Coturnix japonica: one gene and its partners. The protein of the gene in region 3 binds, or shares a complex with, the protein of the main gene of each other region. Links are inferred from orthologs where the notes say so. Each region holds a gene or a part of one and is shown on either strand. Other genes may lie near its edges.

What was found.
Region 1: the proteins of IRF2BP2 (region 3) and VGLL4 are in contact, whole or in part, in a crystal structure (PDB 8YTF), measured with the Homo sapiens proteins. The link is inferred for Coturnix japonica from reciprocal best matches to the Homo sapiens genes IRF2BP2 and VGLL4. Residues at the interface, in NP_892017.2 of Homo sapiens: Thr516, His517, Phe518, Val519, Gln520, Pro522, Phe531, Leu557, Trp564, Ala565, Phe566, Met567, Glu570, Thr573, Ile574; in NP_055482.2 of Homo sapiens: Arg161, Ser163, Val164, Ile165, Thr166.
Region 2: the proteins of IRF2BP2 (region 3) and ZBTB16 are in contact, whole or in part, in a crystal structure (PDB 8YTH), measured with the Homo sapiens proteins. The link is inferred for Coturnix japonica from reciprocal best matches to the Homo sapiens genes IRF2BP2 and ZBTB16. Residues at the interface, in NP_892017.2 of Homo sapiens: Thr516, His517, Phe518, Val519, Gln520, Pro522, Phe531, Leu557, Trp564, Ala565, Phe566, Met567, Glu570, Thr573, Ile574; in NP_001018011.1 of Homo sapiens: Arg285, Ser287, Val288, Ile289, Thr290, Ser291.

What each region holds. Positions count from the first base shown.
Region 1 is NC_029527.1:2,993,096-2,997,781, forward strand, and holds the start of VGLL4 (transcription cofactor vestigial-like protein 4), read right to left. Parts: upstream 3,147-4,686; 5' UTR 2,721-3,146; coding exon 2,639-2,720; intron 1-2,638. UniProt on the Homo sapiens protein: May act as a specific coactivator for the mammalian TEFs.
Region 2 is NC_029539.1:3,817,392-3,821,293, forward strand, and holds part of ZBTB16 (zinc finger and BTB domain-containing protein 16), read right to left. Parts: intron 459-3,902; coding exon 291-458; intron 1-290. UniProt on the Homo sapiens protein: Acts as a transcriptional repressor. Transcriptional repression may be mediated through recruitment of histone deacetylases to target promoters. May play a role in myeloid maturation and in the development and/or maintenance of other differentiated tissues.
Region 3 is NC_029518.1:34,499,158-34,503,737, forward strand, and holds the start of IRF2BP2 (interferon regulatory factor 2-binding protein 2), read left to right. Parts: upstream 1-1,662; 5' UTR 1,663-1,973; coding exon 1,974-2,979; intron 2,980-3,132; coding exon 3,133-3,848; 3' UTR 3,849-4,580. UniProt on the Homo sapiens protein: Acts as a transcriptional corepressor in a IRF2-dependent manner; this repression is not mediated by histone deacetylase activities. Represses the NFAT1-dependent transactivation of NFAT-responsive promoters.

The DNA of each region.
Region 1 (4,686 bases), on a different chromosome or scaffold from region 3:
CATAACGAAACTGAGACAAATCTGAGGTTTCCTGTAGCTATCAAAGAAGACTGACCAAATGCTGACATTAATTCAGTAACCTAAAACTTGCAGGCTACATATTGCTATCTGCAACTCTTGCAGGACAAAACCAAGGAGGACTCCTCATGCAAACTACGCACTTCTATTCCATACTGAACTAAGGAACTGTCAAAGGCACCCAATGGAAGAACTTTTCCCATTCCTTAAACATCAGAACATTTCTTACGTACAAGCTACAGCTACAAATCAATGGCACATAGTTCCAATGGCTTGTGACTGGAGGTGGAAGTTTAAAATAGAGTAAACATTATAAAACGACAACAGTATGTTTCATCAACAAACATATTCTCTCAATAAGTAACAGTGAGAGCTGCAGGAAAGAATATAAAGGAATAAGGAAGTCATCTCACTTACTTCCTGTAGGATATAGGTCCATACATATAATATGAATCCAGATAAGACACATAATTCTTTCCACTGAAATTTCAATCCTATTTTCACAGAATATATTTGTGTCTACATCTGCAAAAGTACAAAGTACTTTTTAGGAAGACAACTACTTAGAAGTAGTTCAAGTATGACCTTCAATAAATCCTAATTAATTGAGTCTGAAAGGGCACTTTGTTCTCAGTCTACTTACTACTACAGCAGCGTCCTTGAAAAGACAAGATCCATCACAGCTGATACAGCTCTTAGAAAATAAATACTCCGGCAGAGGAAGATCTGTAGGCATCTCTAAAACACCCTTACAGTTCAGTGCAGATGTTGTCAGTGACTGTTTATACTTTTTAAACCACTGGGATATAAACACCTCACTATAAACACCACCGAATTTTTGCTTTTTTTTTTCTCATTTTTTTGTATGTTTACTTTAGTGTTAAAAATGTTAACTTCCATAATAAGGAAAATAGCAACAGATGTTTAAGCTAAACAAAGACTGCTATAGTAGAGTACTCTGAGCAGCTTTTAACTTCTAAAGCAAAGATCTATTCAAATAACAATTAATGGAGAAAAGGGTGGAAAAGGAGATCTGGAAAGAATCACCCATTAAAATTAGGCATAATTCTAATGAATTGAAGTAGTGAGCCAAAGCTACAGTTTTTCTGCTTCAGTCAACAAAACACTCATGAACATGTACTACGTAAGCAGAATTTTAAGCAAACTTCATGGTCTTCATCAGAAGTTGTTATTTGACTCCAAACAAAGCACTGCTTACTACGAGAGAAACAAAAAGTTAAAGGATCCTTCAAGTTGTCTTTTCTTAATTAGTCCTCTAGCTATAATGGAGAAAACACAGGTAGGAAAGAACCAGAAAATTCAACTAGTCTTGCACTATCTCAGTTCTGGATTACTCAGTCCTGATATGAAAACTCAAACTTCTTTAAAACAGCTTTATTCAAGCAAGTTATCTCCATATTTGAGCAGGAAAGGAAAAGAAAGAACAACGACAACAAAAGAATCAAATATTAACAGTTCTATAAGAAACTCCTCCATTTCCCAAAGGAAGGAAATGTGTCCATTCTGATTTAATGGTAGAAAAGATGTTATTTTCCAAAGAGAAGCTCAGCTCTGGCCTAGTCCTTTTTTTGAACATATGAATAGGCATTTTCTATTCCTATGTGTACTCCTTATTGTTTCTTCCCTAACAACTACAGCAAGTTTATTTTCCAAATGAACACGGAAAATGTTCCTGCTGAATCAGAAGAAAGATTTCTGCAAGGCTTGTGTGTGGCTACAGCAAAAACAGTTCTACTGCCAAGCCGAATTAGCTCTGTGGTGCCTTTCTTTCCAGTCAAAGCCAAGCCATAACCACTTCTTCAAACTGCACGTAGATAAAACTCCACTAAGATTAAGAAACTTATTTTACTCTATTACCTCAGGCAACTTCAAAACAGGACTATTAATGCTTACAAAATGGAGAGCAAATGCCAACCTACATTAGCTGGAGACAACATAGGTAAAATTCAGAGTCCAGCAGAGAGAAAAAATTACATTTTCCAACTAGTTGTGTAATTCTTTCCACAGGGGACGGGAGCGTGGGGTGGTTCTTGGGAAAGGAGGGGTGTGCGCGATGGAGGAGGGGGAGGCATCTCGCAGCCAGGGCTTTCTCTGAGCTGTGCAGGAAATGAGAAGTCAAACAATGGGCTACTCTGTGCTCTGCAGCACGGCGCCTCTGTGAGCCCCACGGCTGTGCACTCAAACTCTTCATTGTTCGCGACCCAACTGCTGAATTGATGTAAAAATTATTTCGAGCTACACTGTATAAAAGCGTCTCCCCCACCTAAAAGCGGCGGTGCCCGACTGCTAGGTACGGTTACAAGCAGAAATGTAAATTAATACCTACACCCATATTACAAACTATTTCCTTCACAGCTGCAGACATTACCAACAAACAATCTGCCTGGCAGACACAGAAGCAACACAGTCCTTTAAACAAATCTAACGTGAAAAAGAAAAAAAAAAAAATGTCCTTCCCTTAAACAAAGCCGTATTAACAACCCAGACTGTGAGCTATCTTAAAACCAACCATAGAGATCTTCTTTCAGGAAGAAAATCCACGCTTACAAATAACATAAAACACACCCGACAAAAGAGCTTTGTGAAATGAAAGCGTTACCTTCGTAGCACAGAATGCCAATATTGTTGTTCATCTTGTCCAAGTATTGGTAGTTCAACAGGTCCATCTTCATAAATAGCATTTATTGGGCTAGCAAAAAAGACCAGCTTGTTTGCTTTCACCCAGATTCAGGGAGATGGAAGCCAGGCGAATGGTGCTGAGGACGCTCCCGGCCCCCGAAACTTCACTAGCACAAGGCCCAGCCTTCACTAATCAAAACAAAGTATATTAAAGAAAAGTTGGAAGGATTAAAACACACACGACCCCTTCCAAACTTTTACAAACTAAAAGTATATTGCGTCCTTCAGTACAAAGAAAACTGTCTGAAAACTTTTCAAGTCTTTCTCCAAAAAAAAAAAAAAAAAAAAAGAAAGAAAGAAAGAAAGAAAAAGCAAACAGAAACAAGGGAAATTTCCTAGGACAAAGACACACTAGTTCTCCTCACAGCCCGCTGCAAGTTAACTGCACTGACATGCAGGCTATGCTTGGTATGACTCGTATGTAAACCAGCTTCCTCTCTCTATCAGGCGGGGAGGACTGAGCATGCTCAGTGAATCCCTGGAGCTCTTCAAATGTCAGGGATATTTTCTGTACAAGATCAGGCTCTAAATGCACTAAGTGTTTGAAAGAAAGAGCAGGAGGAGGTGGAGAGCCTGCACAGAAGGGGCCTGTGCAGCAGGGGCCATGTCAGAGCCGCCCTGACAGGAAGCAGCGCTGCCACCGCGAGCGGGAAGCGAAGGCGGCACGGCTGCTGGGAGGCCTCCATGCGGGCAGCGGCCTGACTGCTGCACCACCACAGCACGGCGCAGCCATCTCTGAACAGTCCTTAGCTCTGTTCTTTTGCTGTATTTCCCAGCACGACCTCAGGCACTGCCATGTACTATTGCAGTGATATAAGAGTGGCAGAGCAGAACAGCAGCTGGTTAGGGAAACGTGACACTGATGGTTTACCTCTGTGCATAGGTACTGTGCGCTCACACGCACTGCTGCCAATCAGTTCGTCACTACATTTGATTCTTTTCAGGTATATTAGTTAACAGAAATTCTGTTTGGATCGTTAGCAATTGGTACAGCTCCACATGAAGTGCCGCAGATGATGGAGGTTTCCACAGCAGTTGGTCTCATCCCAGGATGCGGTCAGCCCTTCTGCAGTTCAAGCCTTGACCACAAAGGCTGGCGCTGCTTGTACAGATGTGTGTGACTCATCTGGAGAGGGCAGAACATCTGTATAGAGGAAGGCATGTGCTAACCTAGCAGGCATCGGCTTGAACTTCCCGTGGCTAATCAACACCTGAAGGCTGATTTGACAGAAACAGAGAAATAAACCCCGGAGAACTTTGTTCTAGGACAAACAATAAGGCTAATGGAGTCCTAATCTTGCCTCTACCTCTCTTTCCTCTTCAAATTGGATGGCAATTCTTCCCTGTCTTCCTGGGAAGGAGAATTCTAATGGTACACAGGAGAGCAGATAGTCAGTGAGAATCAGTAAGAAATTTTAATTTCCACTTTGGGAATCCTTCTGCTTTGTTACTGCACTACTGAGGCACTTTGCCACAGCATTTTGAAAAGTACTACTTAAACTACCAACTAGTCTGTTCCATCTGCCGTTCTTCACACGCTTCACTAATCTGAGATACCTTCCACTGAGCTGAAATCAATCAGTGCATCAACAGGTTAGATGTGGCATGCATAGTTATTAACATCACCCCAGGATAGTTCTTACTTCTTTTTCCATACACTGATAGTTGCTACCACAACTAGTGGTGTGCCATACTATCTCTATGTTATCTCTGATATTATCTCAAGTACTTCTCTTAGCATTGCACACACTTTTCTTCCATAAGGCAGATATATATCCAAAGCTGTATATAATGTATTTAGTACACTGGAACTTTTAACACAACAGCATCCCCTAGAGGTAACTGAAAATCCACATAACATCTTTCTGAATCACTGTAGACTTCACATCTAAGTAAATCAAATTTGACTCTAATTAGCCCACTTAAACAGATGAGATAGTTCAACCTCTTTGTGATCTTCAAATTCAC
Region 2 (3,902 bases), on a different chromosome or scaffold from region 3:
TGTGGAAAACAGGGCAGTGGGATAGGGTCAGTGGGATAGGGTCAGTGGGATAGGGTCAGCATGACACGGGCTTCCAGCACTGTGCAAGGTTGCGGGGCCTCGCTCAAGCACAGTAATTAACTGCCCAGCGCGCCCAATATCGATACTTGCTCTGTGCACAGACACAGCGAATAATGAAGTAATGAACAGCAAAAGTGATCTAACTATTGATCCGCTATTTACAATAGCTCCACACTGACGCATTCAATGATTCCTTCTCCCCAGCAGCCAGCCCTGATCCCGGCACCTACCCGTGTGCACGCGGTAGTGGGTCTCCAGCTGGTGCTTCAGGCTGAACTTCTTGCCGCAGCCGTTGCACTCATAGGGCTTCTCCCCGGTGTGGATGCGTTTGTGGCCCTTCAACGTGCTCTCATCTCGGAAGCAGCTGCCACAGAACTCGCATTCATAGGGGTGGTCACCTGCAAGCACATATGGGTCAGCCCCATGGCAGGCATGTGGGGCTGCAGGAGCTCAGTGCTGCACACTCAGAGCCCTCTGCCTGCATCAGCCCCGCAGCGCTGCTCAGCACCCTGATAAATGAACTTGGGCTCAGCACCAAACTCAGAATCATTTGAATGAAAGGTGAGAGCTCCAGCTACTTATTTATTACGGCAGTGAAGGCAAGGACAATAAAGATAGATTGATCGTCCAAGACTTTGTTCATGAATATTTAAATATTACTGATTTGTCTTGTCACTGTAATTACAATTTCTCTGTGCTGCATATCCTACAACCACAGTTTATGGTAAAGAATGGCCAACTGTATTTCACTTGTCCTACTGCAGATGTGCAGAGCTGCCAAGCGTGTAATGTTCCTCGCATTTCATACATTTTCTTCAGCTGTGAAGGCTTAAGTCATCCACAATGACCTACGTTTTTTCATTATCCCCATGTCAAACTGCACTCGTGCCTGGGCATAAATTGTCCTTCTAGTTATATACTCACATGCCTGTGCTTTCACTTCCTCTTTGCAATGATATTTTACTCTCTGCCTGTTCTCCCCCCAGCCCTGCTGCTCCGTGCACGGCATTGTTTCCCAACAGCTGCAAACCAGCAACGATCCCACAGGGTGCAAACACCCCCCCATTACACACCCCCCAAACCAACATGCACATCTTTAATCACACTGCCCTGTGCGGGCTGCAGGTTTGTTTCTATTTTCCATTGGACTCCTCGTTCCTAAAACCAAATGGACCCGTGGAACTGGATGATGCCTTCCAACCAGAACCACCCTATCAAGTAACATCCAGCTGCCCATTTCATCACTCCCATTTGCTCAATAGTTATGGGAACACCTGGAGATGGGAGCCAGGTGAAGGATTCTTTCGTTTAGCCTCAGCCACCCATGGGAATAGTGATTTTTTTTCCTCCTGCTGCTTCTTTACAGCACCCTGGTACTTTAAGTGAAGTGTTAAACTCCGGAGCTGGTTTGACAGGATCCGCATGAATTTAATTATCAACCTGATCATGTGGTAAATGAGTTTAAACACGGCATCTCGAGGGCCAGACCCACACCCTCCATACACACACAGCGCCAATGCGGGGACACTAATGGGACCCACATCCCCACAGCAGCACTGCTCTGGTTGCAGAACCAGGGGGGAAAAAAATTAAAATCCAATTTGTGGCACGCTGATTAACTTTGCAGAACCCTTAATGAGCCTAGCATTAAATTCAGGACAAAGGGGACTAATTAGATCCCCTCCAGCACCTGTGACCCCGCTTCTGCACTGCTACCTGGTGCCCTGTGCCATAGAGGCAGAGCAATGGATCCACTGGCACTGAGGAAATCAGTGCAAGGGTTTGGATTATAAATAAGCAGCAGAGAAGCCCCATTGAAACCCTTCTGTACAACACCAGCATCCCCTCCTTTTTCATACTCTGACCTGCTCAGCAGAAAGAGGGGCTGGGATACCTCCAAGGGCTGCAGCCTTTATCCTCTCTATAATGAAGAAAGACCCTCCTATTCCTGCTGTGCTCTCCCAGCTCTGGGATGCTGCCAGGCAAGGACAGCAGAGAGCTGAGCACCACATCATGAGCTCTCTGTGGACTCAGCATTGTGCTTCCACTCCAAGAATAACCACGGAGCACAACTAACTACTCATAAAGCTCCGAGGGATCCTGGTTTATTTTTAAAGCCAAGAGCTAATAAACCATCAGGGGCTGGGGGCAGAACCCACACAGAGTGGCCTGCAGCCCAGGTCACTGGATTACTTGCTATGAATAGCTGCTCCACCCAGCATTAATGGGATCGTAAGCACTGTGTGATTCTGGGTTTCCTGGTTGGGAGTATGGATGCAGGACCAACAGGCACTGGTGATGCAGACCTTCTGTGATGCTGCCCCAGCTCATGTGTGTACAGGAAACTGGTTAAAAAGAGGAAGAAAAAGAGATGCAAACAATCTGCATCTGCCTCCCCCCAGCAATCACAGTGCTGCTGGAGCACGAGCCTCACAACTGGTGTGGGAAAAGATGGGAGAGGAGCATTTCCCTCCACCCACCTGCAAACCATCCCCGCCTCCCCACCGCTGCAAAAAGCAATTTCAGTCACTCTGATTCATAGCTGGGCTGCAAATTACAGGCCAGCTTTCTGCTGCGTGGAGCAGCACAATCCTGCTAATCACTGAGCTGGGCGAGGGTCAGCTCCCCAGGCTTGCCACGCTGCTGCACGTGTTGGGTGCTGCGAGGCTCCAGATCCAACCTCATTGCCATGAACAAGGGGAGAAGCAGCTCCTTCCTGAGGACAGAAGCACATGGGGACTGCAGGAGGCCATCCCTCATCAGAAGCTTGAAGGGCCATTTTCCCATAGCAAAAAGAAAAGCAGGAGGAAAGTCCTACAGTGTTGCTCGGTTATTCCAAACACACCATATTCAGGTACTAAATCTACTAGGGAACTTTCACTTTCTGTTTTGGATGGGATGCACTCACACCTCTTTCCTACATATGATCAGCCAGAGAATCATTAAGGTTGGAAAAGAACACTGAGATCCCCAACCCCATCCCACCCCACTGTATTTCTCAGTGCCACATCTCCATGCTCCCTCCAGGGATGGTGACCCCACCACCTCAACAGACAACTATGATGGTGCCCAAGCACTCTCTTGGAGAAGAAATGTTTCCTAACATCCAACCTGAACCTTCCCTGGCACAATATGAGGCAGTCTTATGCTCTAAGAACTGCTTCTCCCTACACTGCAGTCCCACAGCAGTTATCACATGGAGACACACAGCAGGAGCAAAGCACAGCAGGACAGGGCCACCATCAGGCAGGTGGTTTAAGGACACCGAGTAACACGGTCAAATCCTTGGTTTCATACCCCAGCTCTCATTTAACCTAAAAGCACCTTGGTGGGCGTGCAGTGTAAATACCATATACACGTAGCCCAGGTCACTGTAATCCCATTAGAGCCGAGTACCAGCTGATTATGTGCATCTACTGCATTTAAGCCGATGAAGTGGGGTAAGATGGCACATCCCCTAAGAAGGTCACATGTCACATTATACCGGATCAACTTATTACACACACAGTGCTTTCCCCCCCACCCCCACCTTGTTTTCTTCTTCTTTTTAAACCCAAGCAACCTCAGTTGTGGATGACAGTTGCCTCAATATTATTAAGATTAAATAAAAGAGAAGAATAAAAGTTCAGTTTAGCAAGGAACAACCTTATCCCAGCCCTCCTGGAAGCAAAGAAAGCTCCTCCAGCTCTCTCCATAGCTCACCATCAGCTGCTGGGTACCACCAAGCTGCCAGTCCCAAGCTCTCCTGCACAGAGCTTGGAACCCAAATGAGTGCACCTTGGACACAGGCAGCACTGGGACCCCCACCCCACAGCACAGGGCTGCTCTCAGTGGCCTTGGCT
Region 3 (4,580 bases):
TGTGATTTGATTCTTAAATCACATTTCCTACGCCGCTATTTTTTATCTGCTTTTTGACACCGAGAGCTGCAACGCTCTCTACCAGAGAGCTGCCTCTTCTACCAGAATAGATGCAAATGCAGCAGAACCCAAATGCTGCCCATAGTGGCTCTGACCAGCCTGATTCGATCAGAAACCAAGTTAAATAAATAGGGGTCACACTCCCCGTCCTGCACTCACTGAAAGCTGTGCTTTCTCCCTCCCTGCAGCCGGGCTCTCTCCGAGCTGTGCTCCCCATGCGCAGTGTGCAAACACACAGCTCCTTGGCTTCCCACCAGTGTATATAAATATATGCAGTTATTTTTTTATTTTTTTTTTTCCTTCGCAAAACCTGGAGGCTAAAGCGAGAGGGCAAAGGAGTACGTGACTAAAACATCCAAACTTCCTCTTTCATAAGCCATCACATGATGCAGTGCAATTACAATTCCTGCCTTGTCCCTGCCAATTGCAGGCGCATTGCCTCACCCGACAAACCCGGCTGTGCATGTGTGTGTGTGTATATGTGTGTGTGTATGAGTGTGGAGGCAGCAATCGCTGCAACCGCCTTGGCACGCCTCCATCTCCGGGCTGGAGAAAGAGGGCAGTGGGTGGAAGACGAAAACAAGATGTGTTTACTTAGCATGCAGGGATAAAGCGACTTTCCAGCCGGGAGGGGGTGCACGGAACAGCCTTACAGCGCTTTGATGCTACGAGAAAGGAGGGCCGCGCTGCGGAGCCGCGTTAACCCCCGCCTGGCCGTGGGGCACGATCCGCTCGGGGCTCTCCCGGTGCCTGAATCGCATCCCAGGTCCGCAGCCCCGGGAGCGCCGCAGGCACCGCCCCGCCGAGCCCCGCAAACGTCACAGCTCCCCCGGGTGTCCCCGCTGCCTGCTCGCCCCCCCTTCCCTCCCCCGTAACCTACATAACGCGGCGGGGAGGGCCGTGCCCGCCTGCGGGACGTGGCGAGGGGGACGTTGCCCCTCGCGGTGCCGCTGTGCGGGGACGGAGCGGAACGCCCGTGCCGTGCTTGAGCTGCGCGGGTTGTGCTCGTCCGCCTTAGAGAGCGGAGGGTTTGTGGTTGCAAACGACAGGAAATCTCGAGCGTCCTATTTCCTGCGTGCAGTGACAACAGTTAGAAAAAAAAAAATAAAGAAAAAAATAACAATACGGGCGATGGTTTTATTTACCCACGACGCCCCTCCCGCCCGGGCCCAGTAGGGGACGGGGGCAGCCCCAGGGTCACCGGGGGGGGGTCGGGGGCGACCGAGCTCAGCGACCCCGCGGCGCTCAGCCCGCACCGCACGCGGTGACCCCGCCGGTGCCGAGCGGGAGGCTCGGGGCCGCGCTCAGCCCGCTCCGCTCCGCGTGGCCGGCGCTGGGCTCCCCCGGCGGCGGGCGGAACCCCCGGGGCCGGGCCGGGGGCGCGGGCAGAGCCGGGGCCGGGAGCGCGGCGGCGGCGTGGTTGGCGTTGTTGGGGCGGGGGCGCCCATCGCGCAGGCGCGGCGGCACTGTCGAAGAATCGAGGCGGCGGCGCGCAGAGGCGGCGGTGGCGGCTGGAACGCGGCACGGCCCCGGCCCCGGCCCCGGCCCCGGCCCCGGCCCCGGCCCCGGCCCCAGCCCCGGCCCCGCCCCGCCGCGCCGCCCCGTAGTAGCCAGCGAGCGGGGGAGCCGTGCGGGCGGCAGCGGCCGCAGCCCTGCGCCAGGCGCGCCGCGAAGATGCGCGTCCCCGCCGCGCTGTGAGCGCCGCCGGCGGAGACGGACGAGGGAGCGGCGGCCCCCGGAGCGGCTCCGCTCGCCGGGGCGCGGAAGAGGAAGGCGAGGGGGAGGGGGCCGCGCCGACGGTCCCGCGGCGCCCGAGCCGCCCCGTCGGCCGTCCGGTGGCGAGGGGCGGAGGAGGAGGAGGCGGCGGCCGGAGCCGGAGCGGGGGGCGCTCGCCGCCGCCCCGGGGCCGGGACATGTCGTCGGCGGCGGTGGCGGCTGCTTCCCGCAGGCAGTCGTGCTACCTGTGCGACCTGCCCCGCATGCCCTGGGCCATGATCTGGGACTTCACCGAGCCCGTGTGCCGGGGCTGCGTCAACTACGAGGGCGCCGACCGCGTGGAGTTCGTCATCGACACGGCGCGGCAGCTGAAGCGGGCGCACGGCTGCTTCGCCGAGGGCCGGGCCCCGCCGCCGCCGCACGCCAAGCAGCCGCCGCTCTCCGCCAAGGAGCTCCTGGCGCAGCAGCAGCAGCTCGGCCACCCCGCGGCGGCGGCGGCGGCGGCAGCGCCCCCGCCGCAGCCCCAGGAGCGCCACCCGCTGGCCGCCGAGCGGCCGCCGCCTCGCCTGGGCGCCGAGTACGGCGGCGGACGGCAAGTGAACGGCATCCTGGTGCCCAACGGCTTCCCCAAGCCCGAGGAGCCGCCCGAGCTCAACCGGCAGAGCCCCAACCCGCGCCGGACGCACGCCGTGCCGCCCACTCTGGTGCCGCTGGTGAACGGCGCCGGGCTCCCCGCCGCCATCGGAGGCCTGGGCGGCCGAGCCGCCGCCGCCGCCGCCTCGCTGGCCGCCATCTCGGCCGCGCCCGCCCCGCTGGCCGTGCCCGTGCCCCAGCAGCCGGCGGCGGCGGCGCAGGCGGCGGCGGGGCAGCCCGGAGAGCTGGGCCACAAGCGGCCCGGCTCCGTCTCGTCCTCGTCGTCGGGCGGCGGCGGCGCGGCGGGGGAACACGACGGAGGGAGCAAGGAGAAGCGCGGATCGGCGGAGAGCGTGCCGGCCACGGCAGAGATGGGCAACGACGGCAAGAGCCGGGCGGGCGGCGAGGAGTGGCTGGCCAAGCCCAAGACGGTGCGGGACACGCTGCTGGCCCTGCACCAGCACGGCGGGCACGCGGTGCCGCCCTTCGACAGCAAGTTCAAGAAGGAGCCGGGCATGGCGGGCGGCAGGATGCTGGGATACGAGAGCAACGGGGCCGCGGCCAAGCCGGGTGAGGAGCGGGACCGGGGCGGGAGGAGGGGGGCGAGTGCGGGGCCGGGGCGGACGGGGCCGCGTGTGTGCGCGTGTTACGGTGATCTGGCACGTTTCGGTGGCGGTGCTTGGCCGCCTTGTCGCCCCTCTGACTCTCTCCCTCCCTTTCCAGGGGCCCGCGCAGCCCGGAAGAGGAAGCCGTCCCCCGAGCCGGAGGGCGAGGCGGGACCCCCGAAGATCAACGGGGAGGCGCAGCCCTGGCTGCCGGCCGCGTCCGAAGGGATGAAGATGCCGCTGACGGCCACGTCCTTCATGTCGCCCCCGCCGCCCACCGCCTCGCCCCACTCCAACCGGACCACGCCGCCCGAGGCGGCCCAGAACGGCCAGTCCCCCATGGCCGCGCTCATTTTGGTGGCGGACAATGCCGGGGGCAACCACGCCTCCAAGGAGGCCAACCAGGTCCACTCCACCACCAGGAGGAACAGCAGCAGCCCCCCCTCGCCCTCCGCCATGAACCAAAGAAGGCTGGGTGCCGGCAGGGAGGTGCCGGGCCAGGGGGGCAGCGCGGCGGGCGGGCTGGAGCCCGTGCACCCCGCCAGCCTGCCGGACTCGTCCCTCGCCGCCAGCGTCCCCTTGTGCTGTACCCTGTGCCACGAGCGCCTGGAAGACACCCACTTCGTGCAGTGCCCTTCCGTCCCGTCCCACAAGTTCTGCTTCCCTTGCTCCCGGCAGAGCATCAAGCAGCAGGGGGCCAGCGGAGAGGTGTACTGCCCCAGCGGGGAGAAGTGCCCCCTGGTCGGCTCCAACGTGCCCTGGGCCTTCATGCAGGGGGAGATCGCCACCATCCTGGCCGGGGATGTGAAAGTGAAAAAGGAGAGAGACTCGTGACTGTGCTGGCCCAGCGCCGCCCGTCGCCCAAACTGCTCCGGTTCTGTATATATCTATAAATATATATATATAAATATATATATATCTCCAAGACAAGGGAAATGTAGACTTCATAAACATGGCTGTATAATTTTGATTTTTTTGAATACATTGTGTTTCTATATTTTTTGAAGACAAAAGGTATGTACTTATTATAAAGGCATTTCTTCTAATTCTCTTTTTTTTTTTCCTCCCGTCCTTCCCCCCCATCCCCACTCCCCTCCCCCCGCTTTCCCCCCTCCCCTTTTGTTATAGCAACTATTTGTTGTGCTTCCCTGGTGACAATTACTGTTCGATGTAGGCTGTGACTTGCGCTGCTTTTTTTAGAGCACTTGGCAAACGAGAAATGCTTCTAGCTGTATTTGTATGCACTTGTTTCCTTTTCCTTTTTTTTTTTCTTTTTTTTTTTTTCTCTCTCTTTTTTTTTTTTTTAATGCCAAATACACTTTCTGACATTGTAAAGATCGCCTTACTGTCTGTGATTTCCTTATTGCTGCCCCCTGCTTCTGTAGGGCTGGGGGCAGGCGGGCGCATGGAGCACTAAGGGCTCCTCCCGGGAGCGGCTGTCCGCCTCGTGTGGCCGTGCCGGACCCAGGCCAAAATTCCTCCGTGTTTCTCAAGGGAAGTTGCCTTTGGAGTAGGATGTGGAGAGGTGTTGGAGAGGCGCTGTTGAGTTATAGGGATTTCTGGGTT